Linked DNA regions of Callithrix jacchus. The protein of the gene in region 1 purifies or fractionates together with the protein of each later gene. This does not show direct contact. Links are inferred from orthologs where the notes say so. Each region holds a gene or a part of one and is shown on either strand. Other genes may lie near its edges. The genes, in order: NOP56, SNU13, DHX9, BRIX1, EBNA1BP2, large ribosomal subunit protein eL8 and NOLC1.

The links.
Region 2: the proteins of NOP56 (region 1) and SNU13 fractionate together in Homo sapiens (co-fractionation; 3 studies listed by BioGRID, with this or other methods). This does not show direct contact. The link is inferred for Callithrix jacchus from reciprocal best matches to the Homo sapiens genes NOP56 and SNU13.
Region 3: the proteins of NOP56 (region 1) and DHX9 purify together in Homo sapiens (affinity purification with mass spectrometry; 3 studies listed by BioGRID and IntAct, with this or other methods). This does not show direct contact. The link is inferred for Callithrix jacchus from reciprocal best matches to the Homo sapiens genes NOP56 and DHX9.
Region 4: the proteins of NOP56 (region 1) and BRIX1 purify together in Homo sapiens (affinity purification with mass spectrometry; 3 studies listed by BioGRID and IntAct, with this or other methods). This does not show direct contact. The link is inferred for Callithrix jacchus from reciprocal best matches to the Homo sapiens genes NOP56 and BRIX1.
Region 5: the proteins of NOP56 (region 1) and EBNA1BP2 purify together in Homo sapiens (affinity purification with mass spectrometry; 4 studies listed by BioGRID and IntAct, with this or other methods). This does not show direct contact. The link is inferred for Callithrix jacchus from reciprocal best matches to the Homo sapiens genes NOP56 and EBNA1BP2.
Region 6: the proteins of NOP56 (region 1) and large ribosomal subunit protein eL8 purify together in Homo sapiens (co-immunoprecipitation; 3 studies listed by BioGRID and IntAct, with this or other methods). This does not show direct contact. The link is inferred for Callithrix jacchus from reciprocal best matches to the Homo sapiens genes NOP56 and RPL7A.
Region 7: the proteins of NOP56 (region 1) and NOLC1 purify together in Homo sapiens (affinity purification with mass spectrometry; 6 studies listed by BioGRID and IntAct, with this or other methods). This does not show direct contact. The link is inferred for Callithrix jacchus from reciprocal best matches to the Homo sapiens genes NOP56 and NOLC1.

What each region holds. Positions count from the first base shown.
Region 1 is NC_133506.1:10,188,286-10,191,855, reverse strand, and holds the end of NOP56 (nucleolar protein 56), read right to left. Parts: coding exon 3,429-3,570; intron 3,347-3,428; coding exon 3,195-3,346; intron 3,004-3,194; coding exon 2,903-3,003; intron 2,841-2,902; exon of another isoform or gene 2,755-2,840; intron 2,537-2,754; coding exon 2,388-2,536; intron 2,321-2,387; exon of another isoform or gene 2,250-2,320; intron 2,171-2,249; coding exon 2,049-2,170; intron 2,002-2,048; exon of another isoform or gene 1,929-2,001; intron 1,859-1,928; coding exon 1,721-1,858; intron 1,567-1,720; exon of another isoform or gene 1,447-1,566; intron 972-1,446; coding exon 600-971; 3' UTR 501-599; downstream 1-500. Other genes in the region: IDH3B (isocitrate dehydrogenase [NAD] subunit beta, mitochondrial), read left to right, coding at 66-152. UniProt on the Homo sapiens protein: Involved in the early to middle stages of 60S ribosomal subunit biogenesis. Required for the biogenesis of box C/D snoRNAs such U3, U8 and U14 snoRNAs. Part of the small subunit (SSU) processome, first precursor of the small eukaryotic ribosomal subunit.
Region 2 is NC_133502.1:190,079,412-190,083,427, reverse strand, and holds the start of SNU13 (NHP2-like protein 1), read right to left. Parts: upstream 2,801-4,016; 5' UTR 2,670-2,800; coding exon 2,616-2,669; intron 1,281-2,615; coding exon 1,160-1,280; intron 711-1,159; exon of another isoform or gene 604-710; intron 1-603.
Region 3 is NC_133519.1:41,043,979-41,047,478, reverse strand, and holds part of DHX9 (ATP-dependent RNA helicase A), read right to left. Parts: intron 3,198-3,500; exon of another isoform or gene 3,056-3,197; intron 2,235-3,055; coding exon 2,188-2,234; intron 846-2,187; coding exon 709-845; intron 397-708; coding exon 307-396; intron 217-306; coding exon 55-216; intron 1-54. UniProt on the Homo sapiens protein: Multifunctional ATP-dependent nucleic acid helicase that unwinds DNA and RNA in a 3' to 5' direction and that plays important roles in many processes, such as DNA replication, transcriptional activation, post-transcriptional RNA regulation, mRNA translation and RNA-mediated gene silencing.
Region 4 is NC_133503.1:170,709,830-170,713,956, forward strand, and holds the start of BRIX1 (ribosome biogenesis protein BRX1 homolog), read right to left. Parts: upstream 2,801-4,127; 5' UTR 2,777-2,800; coding exon 2,618-2,776; intron 1-2,617. Other genes in the region: cell cycle checkpoint protein RAD1, read left to right, coding at 3,653-3,850. UniProt on the Homo sapiens protein: Required for biogenesis of the 60S ribosomal subunit.
Region 5 is NC_133508.1:79,831,332-79,834,831, forward strand, and holds part of EBNA1BP2 (putative rRNA-processing protein EBP2), read right to left. Parts: intron 2,564-3,500; coding exon 2,488-2,563; intron 2,252-2,487; coding exon 2,158-2,251; intron 1-2,157. UniProt on the Homo sapiens protein: Required for the processing of the 27S pre-rRNA.
Region 6 is NC_133510.1:113,504,074-113,506,776, forward strand, and holds large ribosomal subunit protein eL8, read right to left. Parts: upstream 1,393-2,703; 5' UTR 1,370-1,392; coding exon 569-1,369; 3' UTR 501-568; downstream 1-500.
Region 7 is NC_133513.1:95,116,099-95,118,797, reverse strand, and holds the end of NOLC1 (nucleolar and coiled-body phosphoprotein 1), read right to left. Parts: coding exon 2,652-2,699; intron 2,467-2,651; coding exon 2,308-2,466; 3' UTR 501-2,307; downstream 1-500. UniProt on the Homo sapiens protein: Nucleolar protein that acts as a regulator of RNA polymerase I by connecting RNA polymerase I with enzymes responsible for ribosomal processing and modification.

The DNA.
Region 1 (3,570 bases):
GCCCTACCTCCCTTCATGGGCTCTCTTTTCTTCCTCCCCACGGCTGTTGCCGGTGGTGGCTGTAGGTGCGGACTCGAGACATGGGCGGCTACAGCACCACAACCGACTTCATCAAGTCTGTCATCGGTCACCTGCACCCCCATGGGAGCTAGAGCCCTTTATTTCAAGGACCACACTCCCCATACCCTTCAGTGCAGTGGACCAGAAGAGACTTTGTGCCTCTAGGCAGTGTACCATGGTCACCTTACTGGGCAGGGCCTAGGTTGTCTTTGGGCTGGCTTCTTTAGGGAACAGACTGCTGGGTTGTGATGGGGATTTTGTTGGGATGGAGCCCAGGCCACATGGATGATGATGATTCTCCCCCACAGGTTCGAACCTCTGACATGGGTGGCTATGCTACTTGCCATGACTTCACTGAGGCTGTCATTGCTGCCTTGCCCCACTCATAGGCCCTGTCCATACCCATCTAAGGTGTTCAATAAAAAGCATGAACCACCGACTTTTGTGAGTTTGTTTTTATTGGGGAACAGGACACAGGGTGGGGAATGTCACCTTGGGCTATGGTATGCCCCGCCTCCCAGAGAATGTCCATTTGCATTCTAATCTTCCTGGGCTTCTTTCCGGAACTTTTTCTTCTTCTTGGAGCTGCTCTTGCTGGTAGTAGCCTCTTCAGGTCCACTGCTGACCGGCTCCTCTTTGGAGAATTTCCTCTTTTTCTTGGAGACACTTCTGTTGCCTGCCTCTTCGGGGTTATTAACTGTTTCCTCCTTGGGTGATGATTTCTTCCTCTTGGGAAGACTGGGGCTGCCAGTGGTTTCTTCAGGATCACTACTCATCAACTCCTCCTTGGAAAAAGATTTCTTTTTCTTGGGTCTGGAGAAAGAAGTAGATGGGTCTTCCATTCCATTCTCCTGAGGAACCTCCTGGGGCTTTTGTTTTTTCTTCTTCTTTTTGGGCTTTTCACTTGCCTCCTAAAGGGAAGGACAGGGGAACAGGCTGTGAGAACAGTGACATCTATTGATATGTGCACACATACCCCCATTACATTTTCAGCAATTAAGTAGCCAAGGCAGGGAAACCTGTGTAGTTGTTAACGTTGCCCAGTGTTTCTGGGATAGTTTTAATTGTGTGGGTATAACTTTAGAAATCCATCCCAAAGGCTATCCCAAATTAGAAGTTAAGGACAATATGTAGTAAATTACCTCAGCCCATTAAAAAAAAAAAACCCTAAAGAAAAACCCACCATGCTGGCCACAACAGAACCATCATGCCAAGTTCCAGACAGGGCCCTGAAACACTGTTTAAGAAACTGGGTGCTAAATGAAAATCCCAGGGAGAACGATTGTAGCCCAGCACACTGGGGACCGCCCTGCCCCCATCCCCACTGTGAACACTACCACCTCCGGACACACGTCTGAGAATAAGCAGAGCAGGAATTTACACTACCCCAGGTTGAGGACTCCTGGGAGGCAGCCGAGGACAGAACACACATGCCCAGGGAACAGGTGTGAGCTACAACCAGCTCTCTGGGCTCTTGAGCAAGTTCTCTCAGCACCTATCTCCTTCCTATAGAATCAAGAGGTAGTTTTAGATGTTTTAGGTCCTTGTTTCAGTTGAAAAGCCTGGACTCAAGACCATGGCTTGATGCAGCACATCCTTTGTTCTGCTGTTGAAAACCCTACAACCTGGGATCTTTGCAAGGGCCAAGCTGCCTACTGACCTCACACTCCTCTGGAGTACTACTGCTGTTTTCTGAAGATGCGAGGGCAAGTGCAGCCAGCCGTTTCTTTTCCTTCTTTAAGCGTTTCTTCTCCTGTTTCTCCAGCTTCCTCGTAATCTCAGCAGCCGCTTCCTCTGCCTGGTCAAAGAGAAGTGCTAAAAGGGCCTGAAGACCTCTGGTGCTCTGAGGACTCCTTTCTGGCTTTATTGGATCAGGCTCATTAAATCAGTTTTTTTTGCCTCCACTCCGCAAGGTCAGGCTCAGACAGTTCATCAACTCCAACAGCCAGCCAGCTATGCCTCCCCACACCCAGCAAAGCCCAACTGACCTCAACCACCGCTTCCTTCATGACATCCAGATTCTTTCGTGGAATCTCTCCAGTTTCATAGAAGGACAGTCGCTCTTCAACTTGTTCTCGAAGTTTCTCCCCAAATACACTCGTGGGCACCTCTGGACGTGCATGTGGGTAACAAAGCCTGTCAGCCCAGAGAAAAACTACCCCCACCCCGTGTTCCCTCTACCCTCAGCTTCACTCAGACCCAGACTCTCAACACTCACTAGGTGAACTGCTGTTGACGAAAAATATTGCCATCATTGTGGAAGCTGCTATGGTTGCAAGCCCCCACCCACCCAGCCAGCCCCTTCTCATACCCCCCCCCACCCATACCAGAGAAGCAATCGATTCGTGAGGCAATACTGCATTTGTTTGCCAGGTATCGGGAGATGCGGCCCTTGTTCTTGGCAGCTGCTCGGCCAATGAAGGTGGAGTGGAAAATGAGTCCATATTTTGGTGTGTTACCCCTTGTCTTCAGGGCTCTGAGAGAACATTCAGTGGAGAGTTTAAGATCAGAAATTTCAACCCCCTTAGCCAAGGCAGCTCAGCTCCTCCCCTCCTCTCACCCCCAAGTCCTGAATGAGCCTCAGGCCAGATTGGATCTCTATCCCAATGCATGCAAACCCATAGCACCCAGAGGCAGAGGGAAGGCATCCAGTGTCGCTGACCTGGAGACTTGGTCCCTTTGCTGGGCCCTGGGAATCACTCAGATACCAGGATTGGCCATCACCCCCATAGCAGAGGCTTGTATAGGTCAGGGAGCCCTGGTCAGCCATCACCGTGATCCCCCAACAAGAGGCGGGCACCAGAAGTGGCACCTGAATGTGGGCAGGTGCCCTCACTGGTACCTGAACAGGGCCTTTTCAGCCCCAAGGATCTGCACTGTGGATGCCGGATACTTGGCCAGGTTGGTGAGGCTGCCAGCATGTGCGATGAGACGTGCACCTACCTGGAGAGAGTCAAGGAAGCAGTCAGAGAAACGAACTGCTGACCTGCCAATTGCAAGAGCCCTACTCACCCCCTCCCCTCCCCATCAAGCACAAGTAGGGAAGATATATGGTGGGTCAGGACATACAGCAGTGCGGGTGCACATGGGAACAGTCCTTATTCTCCCATTTTTTTGTGTCCCCTGTGACGCACCGCTTCCCCAATTAGGGCTGACAGGCTGGGGGCTACTTGGCTCATCTTGGAGCGCAGGTAAGTGTGTAGGCTCTGGCGGTACTCAGATAAAGACACCACACGACTGGAGAAGCTCTCGATGTTTATCAAGTCAATGGCAGATATGTCCATGCCTAGGAAAAACCAAGTGTGAATGCAGAGGGCCAGATATTCAGAGCCCCATACCTTATGCAGGCTGCCAGGCTCTGCACTGACCCATGGAGGACCGTGAGGCATCCAGAATAGCCTTAGCCTTGGCCCCATCCATTGTTAGCTCCTCCAGCTTCTCCAGCTTCTCCTCATTCAGTTCCCTTCGGTTTCCAATAACCTGGGCAAGACGGCAGTATGTGGCATTGTC
Region 2 (4,016 bases), on another chromosome or scaffold:
CAACACAGATGAAAGTGATTCTAATGGTTCTCCTAAATCTCAAATATGATTGACAAAATTTCTGATGTTTCCATTAAAATCTTCAACGACACAAGAACTCTACCACACCAAACTGCTTGGCATCTGGTAAAATCAGAGTATTTTGGCTGGGCATGGGGACTCATGCCTGTTATCCCAGCACTCTGGGAGGCTGAGGCAGGTGGACTGCCTGAGCTCAGGAGTTCGAGATCAGCCTCAGCAACAGAGCAAGATTCTGCCTCAAAAAAAAAAAAGGCTGGCACAGTGGCTCACCTGAGGTCAGGAGTTTGAGACCAGACTGACCAACATAGTGAAACCTCATCTGTACCAAAAATACAAAATTAACCGGAAATGCTGGTACATGCCTATAATCCCAGGTACTTGGGAGGCTGAGGCAGGAGAATCACTTGAACCCAAGAAGTGGAGGTTGCAGTGAGCCAAGGTCCAGCCTGGGCAAAAAGAGCAAAACTGTCTCAAACAAACAAATAAATCAAAATAAAAAATAAAGTATCATGCATACATAATTATTCTACTAAAGAACAACATTTTTTTTTCTTTTTTTTTTTTTTTTAACCAAGGGAGGTGGTGCTTCCTTTGGCAGCACATATACTAAAATTGGAACAATACAGAGAAGATTAGCATGGATCCTGCGCAAAGATGACATGCAAATTCGTGAAGAGTTCCATGTTTTTGAATAATAGCATCAAAAAAAAAAAAAGTCGGGGGAGAGGGGTAGGGAATGTTTCTGGAAACCAAATAAAATTCATGAATGCTAAGTATCCACAGTATAAAAGATGCTACAAAGCAATAATATACCGTTCCTTCTGATGGCTCTGGAGAGGTCATACAGTTACTATACGAAGTCTCTACAACTGCTTTCGAATGGCTCAGCAAAAATAAAATTCATTTATAAAGTGTAAAAGAAGGTAAATGTGGCAAAATGTTAACAATTTGTGGGTCTAAAAAAAATTCTTAGCCCATCAGCTTTAGCATCTAATGCCAAAATGCTGCTCTTAGGTCCTTCCACTGGTTGCAGTCAAGAGCATCTAGCCCTCCTCCCAAATTGGAAATCTAGACCAGAGGTCCCAGATGGAAACATGTGCCTTTAACATTTCCCCAGAGCACCCTGTGGCTGCCTTACCTTCATTGGCTCCTTTCCGAAGCTGCTTATAGTTACATGACTGCTGAACAAGGTCCAGTAGTTTCTTGGTGAGGTGGGCATCAGCAAGGGGATAGGCCTTCGGATTCACATCAGCCTCAGTCTAAGGAGGGGGAGATAAAAATATCAGTCAAATTGAACTGGAAGTTTTCCTACTAATACTAATCAACAATTGATCACAAAATACTAATCAACAATTGAGAAACAGGGAGCAGCTGCTCTGCTTCCTGATCCTCCAACACACAGAACACCATGTAGTTAACAATGAGCTTTCCAGTCCTACCTTCGGAAAAAATGAAATATATTATTAGAAACTATACAGTTCAATGAAGTATACTAAAGCTTATGTACTTTTGTCTCGTCAGATGAATGTTCGATAATATTACAGCAAATGGATTACAAATGGGCTCCCATGGCTCAGCATCCATTTGAGTCCATGGGTAATCTGTACTTTGTTTTTTTTTTTTTAGATGGGGTCTCACTCTGTTGCCTGGGCTGGAGTGTAGCGGCTGATCTCAGCTCACTGCAACCTCTGCCTGCCACGTTCAAATGATTCTTATGCCTCAGCATCCCAAATAGATAGGACTACAGGTGTGTGCCACCACACCTGCCTAATTTTTGTATTTTTTTTTTTTTTTTGTAGAGATGGGGTTTCACCATGTTGGAAAGTTTGGTCTTGAACTCCTAGCTCACATCTGTAATCACAGCACTTTGGGAGGCTGAGTGCAGGTGGATCATGTGAGGTCAGGAGACCATTGGTAATCTTTAAATTTGAACTTCTGTATTCCACCTCAATTTACGGAATCAAAACTAAGATATAATTTACAGTAAATGTAGCACAAAATTCTTTTAATTCCCCATTCCACATACAAATATTCTGTTCAAACCCCTGATTTCCAACAGACCAAAGTATTTCCTCACCTACTCTGCAACACACAAAAAATGGTTCCAAAATTGCTACACCAATACACCACCTCTACCAACAAACTCACCAAGGTCAAAATTTATTTTTGTTCTTAGGATATATCCTACCAAAGCCATCCAGTGATAGTACTATGCTAAAAAATTATTCAAATTAAAATTTTCCTTGGGGTTAGCAATTTGATATACAATTAAGACTTGTTTGTAGTCAGCTTGCTTTAAATTTTATTTTTCAAATATGTAAAATATCTTCATGGTTTAAATGTCAAAACTATGCTACTGATAGCAACTCAGTGTTGTGAAAACCAGGAAAGGGAAACAATCATCTTCTGTGCCTTTCCTAAACACCGTATTAGGAGGTAACCAAATAGAAGATGAAAAATACCTCTTGCATCACTATTCCACCTAATAAATAAAGAGGAAATGGTACACTTAAATATCACCAACTTGCAACCCTTATTAACTAATTAATGGCACTTGCAGTTAAGTTAAAAATCCTTACTTTACAGATACATACTGTAATACTTATGGATAAAATGGCGTCACTGAGATGTGAGTCAAAATAACCCATGTAGGGGTCGGGAGTAGTGTCTCACGCCTGTAGTCCCAGCTACTTGGGAGGCTGAAGCAGAATAGCTTGAACCCAGGAGGTGGAGGATGCAGTGATCCGAGACTGCGCCACTGCACTACAGGCGCCAGAGCGAGGCTCCATCTCAAAAAATAAATAAATAAATAAAAAATGACGCACGTAGGGAGCGAACTGGGTGAGCGGCCTGCCAGTTCCGCTCCTTCCATCTCATTCCCACCCCTCCAGTTAACCATTTTCATTAACTTTTTCTGTCTTTTTTTTTTTTTTTTTTTTACAAGCACAGCACATATTTATACAAGGGTATACTCATATTAAAACCTGGGGGCAGCCCTCAATGTCGCCATTGAGTATTAATGTGCGAATCGCGAGTGATTCGCTGCGGCCGCAATCTAACCTCGGCCTTGGAGGCTGGACACAAGGTGGACGGCAGTCACTGGAGACGGTCGGGTGGGAACACTTATCTATTGCGCCTGCCTCGGTGGTCTCCTGCAGGACACCGCGCGCCTGCCTTTTCCTCCTTCAATTTTTTTTACAGCTTTTTTTGATATAGCTGGCTCACGGTACCGCGGTTCTGAGAACGTGACCCGTGGGTAGTGGCCCAGTAGGAACACTCACCATAGCGTCTGTCTTGGTAGTCTCTCCCCGGACACCGCAAGGACACCACGCGTGTTAGTCTGGGGTGGTCTGCTACCCTCCACCGCAAGGACACGGATGCCCCGCCCCAGGAGCAGGAAGTGACGCCAGTGCCACCAGCGGAAGTGACGTCCAGGGCCAGACAGTACACCAAGACGCCCTGTCTCCCACCTAACTCGTTATCTTAGGCAAACCTGTCTTGGTCCCGAGATGACTGGGAGGAATTAGGTGAAGGATGGAGTTGTTCTCTAAAGCGCAGGTTGGGGGAAGTCGAGGGAATACCTCTGTAATATTTTTCTCTTCCCCAAACATTCACTGATTGATTGACGGAGCCTCCCTCTATTGCCCATGTTGGTGTGCAGCGGCATGACCTCGGCTCACTGCAACCTCCACCTCCCGGGTTCAAGTGATTCTCTCGCCTCACTGCCTCCTGGGTACCTGGGATTATAGGTGCCCGCGACCACGCCCAGTTAATTTTTGTATTTTTAGTAGAGACAGTGTTTCACCACGTTGGTTAAGCTGGTTTTGAACCCCAGACCTCAGGTAATCCGCCCACCTCAGGCTCCCAAAAGTGCAGGGATTACGGGCATAAACCACCGTGTCCGGCCTATCCTTTATTCGTAATGTCTATAGAGTATGTCACCTTCATGTGTTACTTCAACTTTCTTTTTTTTTTTTTTGAGACAGGGTCTCGCT
Region 3 (3,500 bases), on another chromosome or scaffold:
CATACTCAAGAGTGAAACACGAGAGTCTGATCTCAAAAATAATACTGCACTCACAAAAGCCAGAGGCCCCTCATCAATGTTGCTACTGGTCCAAGGATTCCAGTTGGATTGTGGAGGTGACCAAGGAACCACACCCACTTGGTTTTGTCGTTGAGATGGTTCAAACTGAGCCAATTTGCCAATGTTGAGTGCCACTGGCACAGAAGGATCTTCAGGCTATTAAAAAATAAGAAAAACAACAACAAAATGATTTGCCTGTCTACTGAGAGTTCTAAATACATGTAAACTAAATAGCTGTATGCTTACCGGGGGCAGAATCTCAAGATTTAGCTCTTGAATAATGTTTTGCAGCTGATGCTCTAAATCTTGAGAGATGTTTACTTTGTAAGGCTCCACCTACAAAAAAGGATCACACATATAAATACTACTCAAATCTACTTTAGTAGCGCTAAGACTATACAGTCAAAACTAATTCTACAGTATTCCTAAGCCAACAGTCAGTTCCCTTTAGTGAGAGAATTACTTCAATGATTATGATTTACTCATTTCCTATTACGGATATCATGCCAGACACAGATGATTAGCAAGGCCATTTCATTTCTTGAGGTAAGATTCCTTGAAATTAAGACTTCTTTAGCCAAATACTAAACAAGAGCTAAATTGAATCTTAAAATATCTCACGAGTCTATTATAAATCTAAAAACTCACTGTCTCTCCTTCCTTCTTCTTTGTAAGTCCAGAGTAAGCTTCAACCACTCCAAGATGGTAGAGTTGTCTGACAAGTGACAGGGCACAGGACTGTGCTGCCAATTTCTTATTTGATCCATGTTCTCGTGCAAAAATTCCTATAATGTAAGATCGGGTTTATCAGACAGAAGGATCAATCACTTAAGTAAAAAAACATCTTATCACCAGGAACCATGGGCTTAGGTACAAAAGTCTTAAAATATAGTGTATGCCACGGCTTTTAGTTCCTTTTTATTCTATTAATATATGATAAACAAAAGAAATTGCCAAACAGTTTATCAACTAAATAACCCACTGTTTTGACTACAGGCTGATACTAGGACTCATACAATTCAGTATTATGAAAGCAAAAACCTATTTTAAAGGTTGTCAGTGTTATTATCATCAGGCATTAAAATATGGTAAGAAAACATAGTCTGACTTTTAAGAAGTCAAAGAGTAAAAAAATAAACCAATAAATGTAATCAGGTCCAGAGTGGTTACCTAGACCAGGATTTGGAAAACTTTTTCCATAAAGGGTTAATAAATATCTTAGGATTTGCAGGCCATAGTCTCTGTCACAACTACTCAACTCTGCCTCTAATGCATGAAAGCGGCCACAGACAATAGTTTGACAAACCATAGGCCTGGGAATGGTTTTATGTTTTTCAAGAGTTGTAAAAATAAAATAAAAATTAAAATGTATGACCTGTGAAGTCTAGAATATTATCACCTAGTGCTTTATAGAAAGAGTTTGCTGTCCTCTGACAAAGGAATAAGTTTAGTTATGAGTGTAGCTATGTTCAAATAGAACACTTATAAAAACAGGCAGTACATTGGATTTGGCCAGACGGCTATAGTTTGCTGACCTCAGCATTAAACAGAAGCTAACAGCTACTCGTATCCTTGAAGAAAATACTAATAGAAAGTTTCTTCTTCCCCAGTATCATTCAGTTTTAGGAGAAATGAATATAATGCAAAGGGGTACAAAGGTATCTTTCTGCCTAACTAGCCAAATTAACCCCAATCAAGTAAGTGAGAAACCAGGAACCCCTAATCAAGTAAGTCTTATCACCAGGAACCATGGGCTTAGGTACAAAAGTCTTAAAATATAGTGTATGCCACAGCTTCTAGTTCCTTTTTATTCTATTAATATATGACAGAAGTTAGCCTGCCTTTATCCCTTAATATTTCCCATCCACTCAAAATAACTTATTTTACATATAAAAAAGTTTTAAAATTCTTTGACAATGGCAGACTCCTAATCATCCTGCTTTATCTTACCTTTCAAACATTACACTAACATGGTCTGCTTCATACGTAAACTAGAAGACTTTCTCTAACGTCTATAATTACTAATATTCTAAAATATACCCTAGATGCTATCTTACATTATGTGCTCTTTCAATAATACAGCTTCTCTATACAAAGTCTTGGAATATCGGGGAAACAGTGACTTACTTCTGCCCAGCTGCTTGATATAAATGGTCATTTCTGCAATAAAGCTCCTGTAACAACACATACAAGCAAGGTTAGAAATTTCACTGTTAGAAATTGGCAAATCCAGGTCTCCCAAGTCAGGCAGGCTTTCCAACTGCTTAGGCAAATCACAGAGAAAAAAAATTACCAACATTTATTTCTGCCCAACCCTAGAACAAATGAAGTATATAAACTTCAAATATACAACACGGCATAAGACAACTATAATCAAAGTCGATGAGCCAATTGTTCATGAAAGGAAAACGTTAGGGTTTTAGATTTTATATTTACTTACTCTTATTCCAAAGGCTGGAGTCTGAACAGCAAGAACACATTCAATGAAAAGGAATTTTCCACTTAGCTTGGAGCCAAGAAATAAAGTAGGCCCAAAATGCTTTACACTACTGTTAGAATTATTTTAAGATTCTTCTGCATAGGCCACCCATTATGAACTGCAATCTGTTAGGATTAAGCTAATATACGCAAACTCACACATGCACATTCATTTTGTGCACATCAATGGCTCCTAAGGCAGAGCTCTCACATCTGCCTGCAGTTGGAAGCGGCCCTGGATGACAAAAATTTAGCCTATTTATATGACATTTATTTAAATCAGGTCCTGGAGAACAAAACACATGCTGTCACATTATATCTCAAACTGCTTGTGGAGTCTAGAAAATGAATTTAGATTTTCACAAGGGAAAAACTGCCCTTTGAAATTCTATGCATTCTGGTCCTTTCACTGCTCAGATACATTCTAAACCTAGACTTTGTGCTGTGAATAAAAGGCTGGGTGAGGCTTAAGAAAAAATAAATGTTAGACTCCTTCCTATACCTCTTGTGAACTGACCTTCAGGCACAGCGGCTTCAGGGGTCAAAGGCCACTGGCTTTCAGGGGAACAACATCCACCCTTTCATTAATGACATCGATGCCAGTATGTTTCTCAGCCAGGCTTAAAGTCAGCACTCAATCTCATTCTCCTCCACCTAGGGGGAACAGCGACACCAGAAATCAGTTTACAATAGTTTCCCATGTGATTGCTTAGTTCAGCCTAAGCAGCAGCACATGTGTATTATGAACACAGACCTCTGGTGTTGCTGTCTGTTATGCCTTTAAATAAAAGGCCATACAGGAATGCTGTCCTGGCTCCCCCAATTGTCTGTGCCTCTCATTGTCTTTTCCTGAATTCTTCATTGCTTTGTATCAGAAATCTTTAAGATACTGATAACAAAAAATGTCTGCAACGATGAGCTTTAGGGCACACTTAGGTATCTTACTGTTCTTAAAGTCACCA
Region 4 (4,127 bases), on another chromosome or scaffold:
CAGGCTGAAATGCAGAGATGCAGGCTAACAGCTCACTGCAGTTTCACGTTCCTGGGCTCAAGTTATCCTCCTACCTCAGCATCCGCAGTAGCTGCAGATTACAGGTATGTCACATCATGCCCAGCTAATTTAATTTTTTTGTAAAGACGGGGGTCTCCCTGTGTTGCCCAGTCTGGTTCCCAACTCCTGGGCTCAAGCAGCTTGGCCTCCAAAGTGCTGGAATTATAGGTGAGAGCCACCACACCTGGCCCTGTTTGTTTTTCAAGAGCTTCCAGGTAGCAAGTCAAACCATGCTGACTCCTTTAATCCATCTCTCAGCAACATTCACTGACCACATCTGCCACCCAGAAATGCCCTCCTTGGTTTCTTTCTTCTTTTTCATCTTCGATTTCTCCAATTCCTCTTCCTAACCCTTAAAGTTCTTGCTTAGCCCTCTCTTTTCTGTGCTCTCTATGCCAGGTCTCATAATAACTTCCCACAACTTTAATTTTTGTCCACTCTACAGAAGGGAACTCTCTCTAGCCCTAATAATCCAAGTATTTCATTAACACCTCAAACTCAACTCTACAATACTAAACATTTTCTTAGACCTCTTAAATCTGGTGCATTTCCTTGCTATTTCATTTTCTTTCTTTTCCTTTTTTTTTTTTTTTTTTTTTGGATGCTGTCACTTCAGTCCCTCAAGGTTTGAATCTTCGATTTGCCCTGTTTCTCCCATCTCATCATAAGCACTATAAAATGCTATCAATTTCTCTTTTCAACAATTCTTAATCCTTTCTTATTCACACTGCACTTATTTAGTGCCTTATATGAACCACAAAACTCCTCAATGACTAACCATCCCAGACATGAGCTTCTCCAACAGATATGGTTGAGTAGCTTTTTCAACAGCTTACTTTTTAAATACTTCAATCACATCCTTACTTCCCAGAGTTTTCTAAACAAAATCTGAATGACATAGCTTTGACACTGAATTGGAAAATAAATTTTCATTTTTACATCATTACTGCCCCAAATCAAGCCTAATGCAATCCAATCTGGTTCTATTTTTTACATTTTTCAGCATTTCCCTACCTCAAAGTCTTTCATCAGTTCTTTTTTCTCTCCCTTGGAGTGTTCCCTCTCGTTTTTGAATGCCAAAATTCTCCGGTTCCTCTGATATGCAGCTTAAAGGTTAAATCTAAATCCTTCCAGATTCTTTATCTTATTATACTAGGGTAAAAGTAATCTCAATCTCCTGCATTTCCACAGAATGTATTAAAGTATGGCTCAGATTATAGAAACTAACGCCTTGAGCGAAGAGAGCACTAACATTTATTGAAAGTGTACAAGTCCAGCTTATTTTTCATAAAAAGTAAGTATTCCCTCCCCCCACCCTCCCACTCCCACTCCCACCTAATCTGCAGGTCAGAAAAGAGCACAGAATGTTGCTGTTAATAACGATCCTAGAATTTACACTTACTTTCTTTTTTTTTTTTGAGATGGAGTTTCGCTCGTTACCCAGGCTGGAGTGCAATGGCGCCATCTCGCCTCACCACAACCTCCGCCTCCTGGGTTCAGGCAATTCTCCTGCCTCAGCCTCCTGAGTAGCTGGGATTACAGGCACGCGCCACCGTGCCCAGCTAATTTTTTTGTATTTTTAGTAGAGACGGGGTTTCACCATGTTGACCAGGATGGTCTCGATCACTTGACCTCGTGATCCACCCGCCTCGGCCTCCCAAAGTGCTGGGATTACAGGCGTGAGCCACCGCGCCCGGCCCCCACACTTATCATTCCTCAGAGCTCACTCACCATCACACCACATGGAGTCATTTACTTATCACCTACTCCGTACTAGAGTGTACTATGCTAAGTGCAGAGGACAGAGAAATTAATGTCAAAGATAATCCTTGTCTCCACAGTATACTGTGTAGCTTAAGAATAGTTCTTAGTTGAATGAAAGTTAACTGAAACAACTTGCGTGCACTTCTTTCGAATAAAAACCACCAACTTCTCTGACTTAAGTTTCCTCCTGAACTCCAACATTTCAGGAGGAAGAGGTCACATTCTAGTCACCTTTGCAATCTTTGCCAAAGGAAGCTTAACTTGGAACAATGCGTGGCACATTCAATGTCTGTTCAATACAGGTAAAGCTCAAAGTATCTGGACTATCTTTCATTATCCCTTGAGTTAAAGACCTAGTTAACAACTCACAGTCCCAAGGCCAACAACTTTTTAAAGGCTCACCTAACAAGCTTCAGGATCCCTGCCTGACAGCAGCTGACTTCGGCCGTATATAGGAATACTAATCACTGGAAGAAATACTCAAAAGCGAGAAATAACCAAGGAAAAGCACCACCCTCCAAAAATAATTGAACAACTAGGAAGACAACGCTGGATCTGAGCACCCTGTCAGTCGCTTCCCCGTGGGCCGGCTAAAGGTTCTAAAACCCGCTGCCCCCAGGAGGGCGGCCAAGTGCACAAGAATTAGCTATAAACTCCGTGTCCAGTATGGCCGGGAGAACTGCTAAAACCGACCTACGGTCAACACCCGAGCTATTCTAAAATTAGTAGAGCTGTAGTCAGAACCCCCAAGAAAAGGCGCACAGAGCCGCGGCTGTTGGTGTAACCCTTCTACCTTGCAAACGGGGCCTGGGATCCGGTTTCTCTCTTCTTCCTCCACCTCCTCTGCAGTAGCTCGAGGCTTAGCTGGCGGTTCGGCATCTTTCTCGTTTCTTTTCGGTTTCTTCGCCTGAACTGCCAAGCCTCCACGCCGTTTCCTCTTGGTTGCCGCCATCTTGTCTCGCCGCCTGCGCTCTTTGGCCTTCTTTCCGGTGTTGCCGCTCGCACCCTTTTCCGATCTCTATGGTTCGGCGGCTCTAAGCGCTCGGTTCAGCGGTCGTCCTCCAGCTCGGTGGTGCCTGCCTGCTTCCGGTCTTGGAGGCGCTGCACGCTTGGCTCTCTAGGATTCGTTCCGCTCCATGGTGACGGTGGCCGAGGTGGAGGGCCGAGCTGAAAAGTGTCGGGACCCGCTTCCCTTCTTCCGCGGTTTTTCGGAGCCGCCTTGCTACTCCTCAGGGACTTTGCCGGGAAGGGCTCTCGGGCGTCCAGACCCCACTGCAAAGGTAGGGTGTCAGCACTCGAGGACTGAGAGTAGTAAGTGATGCTGTCCAGCGGGCGAGCTGGTGAATGGGCTTGTCTGGGACCCTTGGGGGATCTTCTGGGCACTCCGAGCCCGCCCCCCCCCCCCCCATCGCCTGTTGCGTTGGAGGCGAGGCTTGCGGCGCGGGCGACACAAAACCGACTCCGTAGGGATTCGTAGCTCCTGTTTGGCCGGGATAAGCTGGCCCCAAGCGGAGATACCGTGTCAGTTGCGTGTCTTCATTCTTCACAACTTTTCACGTTATTGTCCCCTTACGGAGATGAGGAAACCGTAGCTTAGAAAATTTTCTCCCAGAGTTACAAAGACAGTTAAGTGGCATCGGTGGGGTTCGGCCTGGTCAGCCAAGTTCAGCTGCCCAATCCCCTTCCATTTCTCAGCGCAGGTGGAGCTCGCCAGACCTCGCCAGCACTGATGGGAGTTTTATTGTCCAATCCCTTCAGGTATTTCGCGATCCGCGGGAGCAGGTGTTGGCCCCAGAAGCATCCCTCGGGGCCGAATGTGCAGCGGACAATGCCCCTTCTGACCCAACAGATCCAAGACGATGATGATCAGTACAGCCTCGTGGCCAGCCTTGACAACGTTAGGAATCTCTCCACTATCTTGAAAGCTATTCATTTCCGAGAACATGCCACATGTTTTGCAACTAAAAATGGAATCAAAGTAACTGTGGAAAATGCAAAGTGTGTGCAGGCAAATGCTTTTATTCAGGTATGGAAATATGTGCCTTTAAGCCTGTGCCATAGATATTCTAAATGCAGTTTAATGAAATCTGAAGGTTTTAGTAGACAATAAATGACTTTATAGTCAATAGTCCTGAATAAATAGTATATGAATAAATAGCTGTATAGTCTTAAGTCAGAGAACAAAACGCCTTTACTTGAGTTTTTTTTTCTCTCCTGGTAACAAATTTTTTTTCCCATCTTGTTTTACAGAGATAATGGTTAGTAATGACTAAAAAGCTAGACTATTAGCTAGGCACTCCTCT
Region 5 (3,500 bases), on another chromosome or scaffold:
GCCCCTTAGGCACTACTGTGACCCAGAATCTCATCCTTGGCCCCACAATCCTATGCTACAGCCCCTCGAGATACACTCGTCTAGCTCAACTATTTACAGTTCTAACCACCAGGGCAGGAAAATAAAGCAAGAAGCAGGGAAGGCTCCACATGCATCATGTGGCTTCCTAGTGTCTTTGGAAAGCTTTCTATTTTAACTAAATCTTGTTAAATCATCCTCAGTTGTGTCTATTCCTCTTAAGGGTAAATATATGCAGTTAACATTAAATGTAATACAGGTCATCCAATAGGGATCTCAAATTCAGCATCCCCAAATTCACATCACCTCCTGCACTGGCTCTACTTCCTGTATATATGAGCTCACTTGAGACTGGCACAGGTCCTGCCAACCCAGACACACAGGCTAACATGTGGGAGTCTGCCTTGGTTCTTCTCTCACTTTATACCCAATTCAATTGCTGAGTCCTGCTCATTTCACCTCTTAAATGTTCCTGCAGTCCATCTTCTCTTCTCCCTCAGTTGCCACTTTCAGGTTATTATCATTGCACATCTGGACTAGTCTCCTTGTCAATTTCCCAGCTTCCCTCAAGTCCCTCACTTATACAAAATCCACTGTAATCTTTTTAAAAGCATGACTATGACTTGCTCATTATTGTCAGTACAACCTATAACCTAGTCTCCCCACTGCCTTCTGGACAAACCCCAAGCTCCTCAACAAGGCAAACCAACAGCGCAGGTCTCCCAAGCCACATCGCACCCCTCCTTGCCTTGCACTGTAGTCCCAGTGACACCAAGGGCTTACTGTTCCTCACAAAACCCTGAGGTTTCACATCTCTATGGCTTTGCTCTTTCAAGCTCTTCCTTCTTCCCAAACCCAGCTTCTCTCCTATTCTTGTGGTTAATTCTTACTCACGCTTCAGGCAATGCTCAAGTCAAACCCTCCTCCAGAAATCCAGAAATCCATCTCCAGACCCTGTCAGGTATTTTTTTTTTTTTTTTTTTGAGGCAGAGTTTCCCTCTTGTTGCCCAGGCTAGAGTGCAATGGCATGATCTTGGCTCACTGCAACCTTCTCCTCCTGGGTTCAAGCGATTCTCCTGCCTTGGCCTCCTTAGTAGCTGAGATTACAAGTGCCCACCACACACCTGGCTAATTTTTTGTATTTTTAGTAGAGACAGAGTTTCGCTATATTGGCCAAGCTGGTCTCCAACTCTTGACCTCAGGTGATCTGCCCACCTCAGACTCCCAAAGTGCTGGGATTATAGGCATGAGCCACCATGCCCAGCCCATATCAGGTATTTCTAAAAGCTGCCTCAATACTACTCCCCAAATGCCTCTATCATAGATAGCACTTACTACCTTACACGGAAATGATCATTTCCCCTAGGCCTGGTATCCAGGTATGCAAAACACTGAAGAGCCTGCATTCTTCTTTCAATCTTCATACTATGAGGCAGATACTCTTTCCTCAACTTAGCAGATGAGGCAATTAGCACTTAGAAAGGTATGGTAACTTGTTCAAAACTGCCCTACTACTAAGTGGCAGAGCCAGGGTCTGAGTCCTAGGCCTGAACTCTCAACCATCACACCGTGTGATGGGGACTCAACTTTTACTCAGCATCTACTTAAAGAGTACCACATACTTAAATGTACCTTCTTAGGCTGGGTGCAGTGGTCACGCCTATAATCTCAGCACTTTGGGAGGCTGAGGTAGGCAAATCACTTGAGCCCAGGAGTTCAAGACCAGCCTGGCCAACGTGGTGAAATCCTGTCTCTACTAAAAATACAAAAATTAGCTGGGTGTGGTGGTGGGCGCCTGTAGTCCCTGATACTCAGGAGGCTGAGGCACAAGAATCACTTAAACCCAGGTGGCAGAGGTTGCAGTGAGCCAAGACTGTACCACTGCACTGCAGCCCAGGTGACAGAGTTAAACTCTGTCTTAAAAAAAAACAAGTTTAAAAAGGGCCTTCTTTTATGCCTCAAAGACTGACATGGCTAAAATTACCCATCACACAGTGCTAGGAGTCTTGGCCACAGGCAGCAGCTGCATTCTCTGGACTCACAGCTGAGCCAGTAGGGGTGCTACGCCTGTCATCTTCGTGACCTATGGCCCCACAGCACCTCCCAGAACCAAAGAAACCATACCAAAATACTTCTCACCCCTTCTTCATCTGCTGGCCTTTGGCTCCTGCCTTCTTGCCCTGTGTTGGGGGTTTCTGATCTCCCTCAAGGAAATCCAGTTTATCAGAGAAGCCTGTAAGTGAAGAAGCAGTTCTGATCAGCACCATTGTATTTTAAAAGTTGAAACCACCATATAAAGCTGTTATTTGCCACACTGATTTTAAAAGTGACATCCTGCTCCCCAACACCATTTCCAAAACTTAGATCCGATAGGTCCACATCAACCAAGAAGGCTCCAAAGCACTAAGTGCTCAGATCAACTCTAAAGTACCTGCTACCCTTGTTCCCCCAGCAGAGAGAGGTACCAACCTTTCTGATATTTCTTAATAGCGTTCATCATATGTGCTTTCTCCTGCTGCCTCTTCTGAAGAACCTCTGTTTGCACCTGTGATATGAACACCAGGACAGTTACAGCCATTCCACACCATTACTCCAGTGTCCACATTCTCTTAATAGCAACACCATGATTAATACTGCTACCCTTTGACATTTACTATGTGCCAAAAACTATGTTAAGGGCTCTAAGTATATTCTCAGATCTAGGTATATTCTTCATAGACGAAGATATATCTATTTCATAACAATCCAGTGAAGTTGAAATTTGTGTTATCCCCTAAACTGAAACACGCAGAATTTAACCTGCCCAAGTTGCACAGTGAAAAAGTGCACAGCTGAGATGACCCAAGCTGTTTGCCTCCAAAGCCAGCATTCACTCTATTATAGAATCCTCCCTACTAAACTGCAGCAAATCATGTTTAAGCCGACATCCAATTTTTCCCATCATATTTGGACAGATTAACTATCTAACTTACTGTTACTAGGCATGAAAGTACCAAAAGGAAGAGAAAAAAACAATGTCCCCAGGTAAAGAAAAGAAAAAGGTTTTAAGAATAAAAGGAGAAACTTTATAATACTCTAACAGAGTTTCTCAATCTTGATACTGCTACACTGTGGACAGACTGCTGGGGGGAGGGGCCTGTCCTGCACTGTGGGACATTCAGCAGCACCCTTGCCCTCTACCTGTAGATGCCAGTAGCACCCTCCCTCCCACATTTGACAACTAAACATACCTTCAGGCAGTGACAGAAAACTCCTGGGGAGCAAATTCACCCCAGCTGACAATCTCTTCCTCAATGTTTCCTCAAAGTAGAAACAGTGAACTAATAGGCCCAAGTGAGTTTGTCTTTGCTTTTAATAACTTTGGTTAGGTTAAATTAATTATTGGTGTCTTTAAGATAATCTCAGCCATCTGCCTCCAGATCAAAGAAATAATAAATCCGTGGCAGGCCCTTTGTAGAGACAGGATCCCGGCCTATTCTTAC
Region 6 (2,703 bases), on another chromosome or scaffold:
AAGTTGCAGTGAGCCACAATCATGCCATTGCACTCCAGTCTGGGCAACAAGAGCGAAAGTTAAAAAAAAAAATCTTATAAAATTGAGCTAGGACTATAGGCACACACCTGTAGTCCTAGCTACTCTAGAGACTTAAGTGGTAGGATCCCTTAAGCTCAGGAGTTCAAGGCTGCAGTGAGCTATGATCACACCACTTTATTCCAGCCTGGGCAACAGAGTGAGACTCTTTTAACCCAAAAGTTAAAAAAAAAGGAAAAATATTCATAGACTTGCACATCAAAAAAACCTGTACCCTGATGGTAAGAAAAACCTTACATTAAAATTATTACACAAAAAAGTATACTGCATACAAATTATCCCTCTATAAACCTAAGAAAAAAGAAATGTGGAGCAAGTATGGCAAAATGTCAATTTCTGAATAATCTTGGAGGAGTACACAGTGGCCACCTTTTCTGTGCCTTTCATCCTGTTTGGAAAATTTCAATCTGAAAAGAATAAAAACAAAAATAATTTTTTTTTTTTTTTGAAGGAAAATTTTCATTGTTTTATTTTTATTTACAGTGTAAATTTAACCCAGTTTCGTGGCAAGCTCTTTAGCTTTTGCCTTCTCTAGCTTTGCAATGCGAGCCACAGACTTGGGACCCAGGACATTGCCTCCCCAGTGACGGCGGATCTCATCGTATCTGTCATTGTAATTGGTGCGGATGGCTTCCACCAGCTTAGCCAAGGCACCTTTGTCTTCCGCGTTAACCTGTGTGAAGGCGACGGTAGTGCAGGTCTTCCTGTGGACTAGACGTCCCAGTCTTGCCTTCCCCTTGATAATGCAGTAAGGGACTCCCATTTTTCGACACAGGGCAGGCAAGAAGACAACCAGCTCAATGGGATCCACGTCGTGTGCAATCACCACCAGCTGAGCTTTCTTGTTCTCCACCAAGGTGGTGATTGTGTTGACTCCTGCTCGAAGGACAGGTGGTCTCTTAGTGGGGACGTCCCCTTTGCCAGCCGCTTTCTTCTCGGCCCGGGCCAACAGCCTCTGCTTCTTCTCTTGCTTTGTCTCTGGTCTATACTTGTGGGCCAGCTTAAGCAGTTGAGTAGCTGTTTGGCGGTCCAGGGCCTGGGTGAACTGGTTAATTGCAGGAGGCACTTTCAGCCGCTTGTAGAGGATGGCTCTCTGCCGCTGCAACCTGATATAGCGGGGCCATTTGACAAAGCGGGTGAGGTCTCTTTTGGGCTGGATGTCCTGTCCAATACCAAAATTTTTAGGCCGTTTTTCAAACAGGGGATTTACCACTTTCTTAGCCTCCTGCTTCTTCACGACAGCAGGGGCCGGAGCCACCTTCTTCCCCTTGGCCTTCTTTCCTTTCGGCATCTTGAGCAGCAGAAAGAAAGAGCCAAAAATAATTTTTTAGAAAGCCGAGATTATTCGAAATACAGCCTGGTTCAATAATAGGATGCAAAGTTAAAACTGTATAGTAAACTGGGCGTGGTGATTCATGCCTGTAATCCCAGCACTTTGGGAAGCTGAAGCAGGTGGATCACTGGCGATCAGGAGTTTGAGATGAGCCTGGCCAATGTGGTGAAACCCCCTCTCTACTAAAAATACAAAAATTAGCCAGGTGAGGTGGCGGACACCTGTAATCCCAGCTACTGGGGAGGCTGAGGCAAGAGAATCCCTTGAACCCAGAAGGTGGAGGTTGCAGTGAGCTGAGATTGGGCCACTGCACTCCAGCCTGGACAAACGAGTGAGATTTCATCTCAAAAAAAAGAAAAGAAAAGAGAAGGAAAGAAAAGAAAAAAACTCTTAAAAAAAAAAAAAAGGTATGGTAAACAAGGAATTTTTATTTCATTCCTGTCAGTGAATGTCTGTGACTGTATGTATTACTTTGTTTTAGAAAAGGTCAAATGCAAATGTGAGACCTTTCAAGAATGTGAAGTCTGCTCAAATAGCCTTTTGTCCCTTAACGTTTCAGAAAACACTTAAAGAACAAGAATAGTACTTAGTAGTTTATGAGGTATGTGGGGAGGGGGAGAATGAGAGCAGTTGGATTATTTTCTTCTGAGTGTTGATCTGGAAATCAATTACCCGACTGGTTACTTCAGTCCAAATCGTACAGCCAATCCTCCATCTTCACACATTCTTGACCCCTTTGTAGCTCTAAAGTAACCCCTTTAGGAAGCTTGATGACTCTGCCTCCTCATTTGTGAAATGTTTGGGTGAGATGAATAAAAATAGACATACTAATCACTAGAAAAAAATTGATCCTTCTTTTTCTCTCTCTCACTATGTTGCCCAGGCCAGAGTGCAGTGGTGTGATCATAGCTCACTGCAGCCTTGACCTCCTGGCCTCAAATGATCCTCCTACCTTAGTTAGCCTCCAGAGTAACTGCGACTACAGGCATGTGCCACCGTGCCCAGTTACTTTATCTTTTATCTTTTTTTTTTGGAAAGGTCTCACATATTTATTACTGAACCCAGCCAACCAAAGCCTTCTTCTTTTTTTTTTTTTTTAACATGAATAATGGAAGCACTGTGGGTTGTACCAACTAATGCCTTCTTAACAGATCCAGAGAGAAAACTCTGTTCACACTTCTCCAGATAGCAGTGACATTTTTCAGCTTGATTTGGTAAAATGATTGTGACCTTCAGACAGTATAAATATGTGTGCCATCTCATGTGTAATTTCTTATAGACCCAGCTTAGCT
Region 7 (2,699 bases), on another chromosome or scaffold:
GCCTCCCAAGTAGCTGGGATTACAGGCATGCACCACCATGCCAGGCTAATTTAGTATTTTTAGTAGAGATGGGGTTTCTCCATGTTGGTCAGGCTGGTCTGGAACTCCTGACCTCAGGTGATCCACCTACCTCAGCCTCCCAAAGTGCTGGGATTACAGGTATGAGCCACCACACCGGCTATTATCTATCTTTTTAAAAAACCTTTACAAATGTAATAACCTTCCTTAGCTCTTAGGTAATATAAAAACAAGCCATGGGCTAGATTTGACCCATAGGCCATTTTGCCAACCCCCAATTTGGACAATGCACAGGCTGCAGTACAGCCTGGAAAAGGCACCATGAGACAAGCTGTGGCCAAGAAAACCCTGCAAGCTGCTGCCAAAAAGCCTCTGCAGTGAAGTCACAGGTCCAGACCCCAGTCCTCTAACTGGCACCAAAGTTGTTCTGTTTTGAGTAGGAAGAAGAAGGGGTTCAGACTCACAATAATAAACTCCCAAGACACATTATAAACCAGCCAGTTTATTATTTTATAGTAAGATGTAGAACTTTTACCATGCAGACTGAAATATCGGTGTCAGCATGAACAGTACATTTTCTTCTAGAGGCAGTTACATGGAAAACCAGGTTATTATCAGGTTATTTAGCGAGTGTGGAATCCAAACAAGAGGAGACTAACCTTAAGACCTACAAATCATCCATGAAGGCTTGGGGCACACTTTCCTACCACCCAAACACTTTAGCCTCCACAAAGCTGTGGACTCTTCCCTCTCCGTCTTGTTCTGGCTGAGTACCACCACTGATCAGTCGCTTCCTGCAGCCATACCCACAGGCCAACTTGGCCTAAGAGCTGTATTTCCGGTCACTGGTTTGTGTTGTTATTGCCACTATTACTAACAGTTAAGGTTCTGAAGGGGGCACATCAATTGCTCCCACGTACCAACTACGAGACCCATGTACCAACTAAGTAAGAGACACAATAATCCTGTTAGTTTGTTCTCCCAAACCCACTCCACTCAAGTTTATCAGGTAATATGCTCTGTCAGGTTCGCGAACTCGACTCACTGCAACCTCCACCTCCCGGGTTTCAAGCAATGCTCCTGCCTCAGCTTCCCGAGTAGCTGGGACTACAGGCGTGCGCCACCACGCCCAGCTAATTTTTTTGTATTTTTAGTAGAGACGAGGTTTCACCATATTGACCAGGATGTTCTCCATCTCTTGACCTCGTGATCTGCCCGCCTCGTCTGTAAGGTTCTTTCAACCCGATTAGCACATACAGAGAATACCAATAAATTCATCTAATATAACCTACCTTCCTCCTGAGGATTGAGTTTTTCTTTTCCCCACTTTCTTGATTCTCAACCATGTAGGAATTAATGAAACCAATTCTATGTCACCACTGCAACCAAGACAGCAATGCCAAGTGATATGTATTTTTCAAATTAATGTCATTTTGTTCTCTATACTGTGAAATATGATGCAGTCCTCAACTTAGTACTCAATACTAGGAAGGGTCAAGTTGTCAAAAAATGTGTATCAACAGTAGAAAAATTTGCGTTCAAATTAAAAAAACAAAGCATGTATTACAAACATCATGTAATGATAAAATTACAGAAAAAAAAATATTCAGAATGACCCACGGCATTCATACCACACCAGAAGTTTGCCTGTAACAAAACAGTAAATTTTATCCCAAAAAGTAGGTTAGGTCCATGCTGGCTAAAAACCTCAGTCCCAGACTCAATAAATGAGAATGAAATACACAGTGCATGCTTAATATGACATTGCATATACATCAGCCATTCTTTAATACCCCTCGCTAGGGTTTTGAGGGAAAGATGGATGAAATGTGAACATGTGCACTCACAAAGGCAGAATTTTCTTCCAATTATAAAAAGTCATACCTGTGACCCTTTACTATGTCTTGGGCATAGCTAAGTTTTTGTCTGTAGGAATCCACCTTTGAAAATCACAACAAAAATCAATAGAAAATGATTTAATATAAAATATACAAATTTCTAGAATGAGGACTTTCACAGAAAAGGAAGGAGACAATGAAAACGAATTTTCTGCAAAAATAACATTCCCTTATTTTGTCCCTGCTACTTAACACTCAAAACCAAGTCTGTACAAAACTAGGTAACACAGAAAAGGACCAGAAAGGATGTTACATTGTAAAGTCTTAGGACCTACCCTAAACTTCTGTCCTCATCAAGACCCTCACCTGGAGAGCTGAGGGTTCCCAAGTCCACTAGAGAAAGTGAGTGGTCTCTGACCATCACCTTTGCTTCGCCAAAGATGGCCCCAGGTCACTCACTGTCAAACTTCACGGAATTGACCTGAACAGAGATGGAGCCTCCCCGGTAGCTGCCCCGCTTCTTCTTGGTTTTCTCATGCCGGAAGGACTTGCCTTTGGTGAACTTCAAAACCTGATTGGCTCGCTCTCCCCAGTCTCCAGCTGCACCTCGCTAGTTAAGTAGAGAGAGGAGGTTAACACAGAAGGACCATGCCAGGGCCTTGTCACTTCTTTTCTTTCTACTCCCTACTCAAGGTAACCTGAACCCAGAGAGGATTGCCACCAACCGGAATCAAGAGCTGTGCTCTCTGACACTACCACCCTCCCTCCCAAGAATGGCACAGATCTCTCTCTCACCTTGGCATCAAAGGAGTTGTCTGCCACTCGTGAATCCACCTCAATTTC